2 linked regions of the Caenorhabditis elegans genome follow. The protein of the gene in region 2 interacts with the protein of the main gene of each other region in a pairwise test. Each region holds a gene or a part of one and is shown on either strand. Other genes may lie near its edges.

Region 1 (3,928 bases), on a different chromosome or scaffold from region 2:
TAGTTTCTGAAAACTACTACTGAACACTTTAACTCCGGAAAAATTCAATTTCGATACTGTGAAACTACAATGAATCAATCTACATTCATTTTGAGAAACATAAATAATACACAAAGTACCTCACACCTCTGTCAGTCATTCACCCGGGTACACAACGGGATTTCAAAATAATAGTTTGTTGATGGAAAGCGGGTAGAAGATAGATCAACATCAATTATTAGTGTAAATCCTCGGGGTTCCCAAAGGAATACGTGTCAAAGTACAGTAAACTGTAGCTCAAGTCCGGAAAAAAGGAAAAATCTGGGTCATCTAGGCCAAACGCACGAAGAAAACTTCCGGAAGATGGATTCTTGTATTTGAACACTCCTTTTCGATTTTTCCTTGTTCGTTTAAAAGTTCTGATTTTCGGTTTGAAAAAAAAACATTGTTTTTCTCTCCAATCTCCGCTTGCACGCTGGAATGTCAATCAGACGACCAATTCAATTAATTCTATTAGATTTTAGATGTCTTAACTGGAAACTTTAGAAGAATGCAAATATATTCAATTTGGGGGACACTCAGATTACGGTAATTTGTAGTGGAACCTCGAAAATACAACTATTACCCAGTAGCGAAATTTTAGGATTTTTACGCCAAAAAATACGGTACCCAGTTTCGATTTTTTAAATAGTTTTTCTCATAATTAAAAAAAAACCTTTTTTTTAATTTGAGGTTAAAAAAAATTTTATCGAAAAATTTTGATGAAAATTACACAGCAAAGTTTAAAATTACAGTACTCTTTAAAGGCGCACACTTATTTGCATTTACCAAAAAATGTGTCGTTTCGAGACCGGGTATCGCATTTTGGGATACATACGAAATGTTCAAGTTGTGAACAGTTTTTTTCTACTAGCAGAAATTCAAATTTCGTTGAAAAACTACGATTCTAAGAGGTGTTCCGGTATAAACTAAATACGTCAATGAAGTGTCAATCTGCAAAAATCATCAAACCTTCAAGCTTAAAACACAAAGCACAATTTCTGGTTTAAAATTTGAATTTTTTCATTCAAATCAACCATTTTCATTGAGCTATTCAAACTTTCACACTTCCGTTTCTCTCTTTTCCAATTCAAAAACTACCAATCAACGTCACATCACTAATCTTTTCTTCCAGCACACACACACAGTACTCTGTCACGGTAGTCTTAATAGGCTAATAAAAGTACAAAGTTAGTGGTTTTGATGCAATACGCAACTTATTTTCCCGATAATGGGAGCACAATGGGCAAATCAACCCGATTACGTGCTATGTTCTGATTATTTGAACATTGTGCACTTTTTTGAAAACGTTTTGTGAATTTTGCAATTAAATTGAATGACTTAATTTTTTAATGTATTTTTACTTTCTAATTTAAATTCAATGTAGAAATTCAATGCAAAAATTTCAAATTTTCCAACTGACCAAAGAGCATTTTAATATTTTTCAGCTTCTAAAAATGCTTGTTTTTGTTTATTTTTCTCCAACTTTTTTTTTCATATTTTCTTATCATTCGTACCTTTCTATGTCCTGAACGAGTGTACTGCCATTTCTGTTGTCTGACGTGGTTGGTTGCTCCATTCGGTATGTTGCTCGAATTACGGTATGCCAATGATCCCGGAGCAGATTGTTGTTGTGTCGCTTGTGGATGCCCGTTCGATGGTGGTTTAGCATTTCTCGTTGTCGGCTGTGCGCACAAATTGTTAGGTATCCACGTTGGCATCATGTTTCGTGGTTCTGAAATTAAAGAATTATTAGTTTTATGAAGAAGAAGTTCTGGCAACGGATAAAAATATTTGAGAGTGTGAAATATTTCGTCGGAAAAGAAATTTCTGATATTGCAAAGGAACTTTTTTTGAAAATTCCCTCAATTTACCAAATTTAACTGTTAAAAAAAACTATAGATTTCTTTTTCTGAATTTTTAATGATTTTTTTCAATTTTGCAAAAATAAAAGAAACGGCTCCATGATTTTTTTTTTGATTTTTTTGTGAAGAAAACTTGACGACCTGAAATAAAATTTCGGAAACTTTAAAATCAGTTCAAAATTCGATTATTTAACTATTATTTCATTTTTTGTTTAAAAATGTATGAAAAGTGAAATTATAAAAATCCATGAATTTTGCCAGAAAGTGCAAAAATTCAAATTCCCTTCCGCCGATTTTGTATTTATATTTCAGCGAAATTGAATAAATCATTGAAAAATTAAACACTGTTTTTTTTTACAGATATATTCGGGACATAAGGCAAATTTTCGTATTTTCTAGCTCAATGGATACACTAAATAAAGGAAAAAAAATCGTATAGAACTTTTCCCGCAGTAAAAGTAAAACTGGCCAACTATGTAAAAACAGAAAATGCAGAAAATCTATTCGAAAGTTGTTTTTATGAATAAAAAGTCTATGAGTTTCTCCTCGTCAATTAATTAGCTTCGTCAGAAAATGCATAATATTGTTCCTGTTTTGAAGCCATTTATCTTTTGTATGGTTTCCCAAATCACTATGTTGAAGTAAAAAAGAGCAAAAATCATTTATGATGTCAGAGAAAGCTTTTTTCCGAACTTTAGAGACTCTAACTTGCAGTTTTTCAAAAAAAAAACTCCGAGTTTACTAGCAATTTCACTCCAAATTCTGCCTATTTTCCCTGTATTTTTTCATAACTCTCTCACCGCAGACCGATAATACAATCACCATTGTACACACACAACACTGTCTCATTCTTTTTGACCGCCCACCCAAAATGTTTAATATTTGTACGAGCGTTCTTCTTCATAATGCTGACTCATTTCATTTTCAACACTATTTTTCAGCTTTTTCTAACGAAATAATGACGGATTATGATGACTATGAAGACCGATCTGGTGTGGTAGAAGAAGAACTATTGGATTTTGATAGAGTACGTCTAGAATCAAATTTGGCAACAAATTTTCAAAATATTCAGGCAATGCTGGACTTTCAAGCTATGTTTCCCAGTCTAAGCAATTCACATATTGAATATGTTCTACGGAAATATGATGGAGATGTTTCAGCCACTATTAATGAGCTACTTTATGATAACGTATGTTAATTTTTTTGTTTATAGAAATTATTGCTTTACTACACGAGAAAGCACTGTCAGCGAGAATATTGTATCTCAATTGTTCAAATTTCGATCGATAAATTCCAAAAATAATTTCAGACGCCAACTACAACGACTTCTGAATCTATTCCACATGGAGGAGACTTAACAAAATTAAGGCAGCGAAGGCATGAAATAAACGAAAAACTGAGAGAAAATCAAAAATTTTTGGATACGGTTACAGATGTGGAAATTGCGAGGTAGAAAATAAAATTATTTATACACTGAAAATCGTGAGAAATAAATTTCAGAGCATATGAAGACCAACAACTGGCCTTATTACTTGAACACCGAGAAGTGAACACCCTTATCAGTGAGGAGAAAAAGAGTGAGCTTTTATTTTTGGGAAAATATGGGAAAAACAGGAGAAAATAAACACGTGGCGTCACAATTTCTTTCAGAAAAGTCATGTTCTGACTCATCTTCTATTCAAGAATCGCGCCGGCATGTGAAAATTCCCGGGAAAAATTCGAAAAATTCTAAAATTAGTGTGAACAAAGCGAAAAAATTGGAACCGAGACGACGATCGGACGAAGATCGTGTTCCAGATGGACCATACATCGGGGAGGGAGAAGTAAAATCGGAGAATTTCGCGGCGAAAATAAAGGAAACGTTGAGAAAAGGTGGGGTGGCCATGATTTATAGGGTCGCGAGACTATGTTTAGTTGATATTTCGATAAAACATCTGTGAAACCATTAAAAATCACAAATTTCCCGCAAAAAATCAAAGAGAAATAACGATTTTTGCAGAAAAAAACAAAGAAAATTAAAAAAAAATTTTTTTGAAAAATGAAAA
Region 2 (3,793 bases):
TGGAGATTCAACTTTCTTTCTTTTTGGGTCCTTTTGTTCATTTTTAGCAGCTTTATTCTTGTGGAGGTTTTCAATGCGTTTACGCATGGCAACAGACCGTCTTGGCATTCTTCTGAAGAAAACAAATTCATAATTGTGACCGAATAGTTGTGTGGTGATAAAAAACACAAGAAGCATTAGTTTTGGCGTAAGCCACGGTGATCCCGATGGTACCAACATAGACGTGAACTCAACTTATTTGCTATGTTTGACTATGGTAACATATCATGGGTCTTGGCGCGAAAAAAGTTTATTGTATAATTTTTTTACTTTGACTAAGTACTGTTTCGTTTATTTTTCATGCATTCAATTCAATTCAATTCAATTAATAAGTTTTTAGCGAATTTTATCGTTTCCTTTTCATTTTTCTGTTTTCAAGTCGGAAGCAGCCGTAAAAATCCAAAAAAAGTCTACCATAAACATTTTGCGCGTCGAGACCCATCTGAATAAATCCATGCGCCTTTAAGAAGGTGTGACAAGATCTTGTAAATTTACCATAATTTGAAATTTAAGCTACTAAAAAACACATTCCAAAAGACGGAGAAACTGACAGAAAATTATCGAACGTGCACACACACTCTCTTCAATAGCTGCGTCTCTTCACTCTATATCATGTGGCCTCATAGATCATTGGGGCGCTTTTGCCAACTGTTCAGAGTCGATAATTAATATTTTATTTTATTTCAACAACAGAAACGTTCTAAAAACGTTCAAAACATAAATGCAACGAAACACATGATTGATTGTGTGATGAGATTCATGAAGATGACACGGCTTGGCCTGAGTTGGAGGGAACCTTGAAAAAATGTCAATTTTAAATGCTCAAGGTGAAACTACAAAGTTACCTTAATTACTGGACGTCGAATCTAATCTGATCGCCATGCTCAGAAGAATTTCATTGGGTGTTTGGTTGGTGGAGTCTCGGCTGATATGCATAGATCCACGACTTGAAGTCATTTTTAGAATTTTCAGCTCTTCTTCAGCCTTTCTACGTGCACTTCTCTCCATTTCCAAATCTTCTCGCAATTCCCAAATGTCTCTATTTGAATCGTTGGGTACTTCCACGGATTCCGATCTGTCGCCGATCACATTTCTAATTCGTGCACTTAGAGCAAGCTTTTCAGAGAGCACATCATTAAATCGATCTTTCCACATTTCTTTTTCTCGTAGCAGAATCAAATTAGATTGTGTAGCGCTCTCCATTTCGGATTTGATCTTCATATCAACTTTAAACTGATTTCCTTGTTGTGCTTTCAAGAATTCCAGCTCCTTCTTGAGTTGGTCGGTGACTTTTAAAAGTTCAACATTTTCAGCAGCAGTAGTCTCGAAACAATTTTTGTAGAACTTCGACTCCTCTTCAGCGCTGTCAATTTCGGATTTCAACTTTTTATCAACTTTAAACTGGTTTCCTGGTTGTCTCTTTAAAAATTCCAGCTCTTTTTTGAGTTCATCAGTGGCTTTTAAAAGCTCGACATTTTTAGCAGCAGCTGTTTCAAATCGGTTTTTGTAGATCGTCGACTCCTCTTTAACGATCTTGTACTGGTCTTCAGTGTATCTGTAAATAATTTATATTGTTCTGAATTGCTTCCGTGTAAAACTAACGTCAATGGAAGATTGTGCAGTTTCATCAGAGCTTCCTGTTGTTCGATTTCTTTCTTTTTTCTAGCAAGTGTACCCATAAATCCACAGATTCTTGCATGTTTTTGTCTTTTATTAGGGGGTGGCATGCTTCTGGAAAAAAAAAACTATGATGGAAAGTCTTAACAGGAATTTAAAAAAATTAATAATCGTTGAGATATTTGGATTAAATAATATTATTTTGAAAATGTCAACAATTACAAAAAAAAAAAAAGCTTTTCGAAAATACTTTGTCTATTTATTGGTTTATTCTAATAAAATAAATGCAGTAACGTTTCAAAAACGCTCAAAACAGAAATTAAACGAAGCAGATTTTTGAGTGCTGAGATTCATAAAGTTGAGATGGAATGTGTTGAGTGTCGATTGAGGAATTCTGAAAAAAAAACAATAAAAATTTTCAATCGTTCTTGTAAAATACAAAATTACCTTAATTAACCGACGTCGTATCCAATCCTATCGCCATTTTCAGGAGCATCTCATTGGGTGTTTGGTTGTTCGAGCGTGTGGAGCATTGATTTCTCGGCAGAGATCCACGAGTTGAATTCATTTTTTGAGCTTTCGGTTCTTCTTCCGTTTTTCTACGAGCACTTCTATCAATTTCCAAATCTTCTCGCAGTTCCCACGTGTTACCATTTGAATCATTAGGCACTTCTACGGATTCTACTATGTCGCCCATCATACTTTTCACTCGTGCACTTAGCGCAAGCTTCTCAGCGAGAACATCATAATACCGATTTTGCCAAATTTCTCTTTCACGAAGCAACGTCATATTTGATTGCCTGGTGCTCTCGATTTGGGATTTGAACTTCATATCGACCTTCAACTGATTTCCTTGTTGGTTTTTCAACAATTCCAGCTCTTTTTTGAGTTGATCGTTGGATTTTAGAAGTTCAACGTTCTCGGCGGCAGTAGTTTCGAAGCAATTTTTGTAGAACTTCGACTCCTCTGCAACTTGTTCGTACTGTTCTGCAGTATACCTGTAAATTCGTTCAATTTTTCGCAAAAATATCTAAATAAAACTAACGCTAACGGATGCATGAGAAGAGCTTCATGTCGTTCAATTTCCTTTCTTTTTTTTGCGGGTGGGCCTTTCAGTCCATTGATTCTACCTGCCGCTCGTCTCTTGGACAGTGGCATTTTTCTGAAAAGAACCAATATTTTGTGAGGGAAATTTATAAAATTTCGCAAAAATCAAAAGTAAAACATCGCACGCACATTGATATCCATTAACTGATATAATTTAACAAAAGTGAGACAATCAAGAGAAAAAAGTACAATCAGTCTCGTAAAAAGAAACCGAACAAACAAAATCCGTCTCGTTGTCCCGCGTCTCTCATCTCTGGTGCATGACGCTGGAGCGCACTTTCCTCTTCTAAATTTCATTTTCTGTAGAAACTTTCAGGCTTGTCAGAAACATAAAAAGCCTTGAAATATGCACTTTATAGGATTAAAATGGATCCATCATATTTTTGTATTCAAACTAAAATTGTTCACAGAATGTTTTGTTTGGATATGCAGAAAGAGAATCCAAAAAATACTATGATAAATATTCGCAGTATTTCCATAGGAATATATTTATTGGATTGCTTTGGATAATTTCCTTTTTAAATATCATAATTTTGCAAAAATTTCACACGTCAGTTTAAAGGTACACGCTGATTTCCTGAATAGGTCTCGCCACGATCTCGATCATAGTGGTTGTTAAATACTGGTGCCCTGTGAAGTTTATGTAATTTCAAATTCTGAACTGTGCAGGGAAACCAAAAATTTGTCCGAAGACATTCATAGATTAGTTTTATGTTTTTTTGCGAAGAGATGCTACAGTAATCTCAATATTTTTTTAAATTCTAAGAGCTCATATCACGAAACTACATGAACAACCTAATTATAGATTCATCTCTGTCCAAATTATCAGAAAACACTAGAAACTACAAAGAACTACTTTATTAAAAGAAAAGCATTTCGAATTATTAACAGTCCGTTGAACAAAGCGTCCCACTTTGAGTCACAATTTTAATCAAAATATCTTGAATATTTTGCTGCGTATTTTGCGGAGAAACTTCACGAGTATTCTCCATATTCTCCAAGAACCGCTTGTCTCTTCCTTTTCGCTTCG

Evidence for each region.
Region 1: the proteins of C49C3.7 (region 2) and mpk-1 interact in a two-hybrid assay, tested with the Caenorhabditis elegans proteins (3 studies listed by BioGRID).

The regions. Positions count from the first base shown.
Region 1 is NC_003281.10:4,226,356-4,230,283, forward strand, and holds the start of mpk-1 (Mitogen-activated protein kinase mpk-1), read right to left. Parts: upstream 1,740-3,928; coding exon 1,536-1,739; intron 1-1,535. Other genes in the region: F43C1.5 (uncharacterized protein), read left to right, coding at 2,842-2,910, 2,956-3,072, 3,193-3,332, 3,384-3,460, 3,534-3,755. UniProt on the Caenorhabditis elegans protein: Functions in let-60 Ras signaling pathway; acts downstream of lin-45 raf kinase, but before the lin-1 gene product in controlling vulval cell differentiation. Plays a negative role in proximal germline proliferation in the mitotic zone.
Region 2 is NC_003282.8:17,330,552-17,334,344, reverse strand, and holds C49C3.7 (Coiled-coil domain-containing protein 176), read right to left. Parts: upstream 1,785-3,793; 5' UTR 1,767-1,784; coding exon 1,642-1,766; intron 1,595-1,641; coding exon 886-1,594; 3' UTR 885-885; intron 836-884; 3' UTR 699-835; downstream 1-698. Other genes in the region: C49C3.15 (DUF4515 domain-containing protein), read right to left, coding at 1-108; C49C3.6 (uncharacterized protein), read right to left, coding at 2,105-2,654, 2,702-2,814; ceh-88 (Homeobox domain-containing protein), read right to left, coding at 3,648-3,793.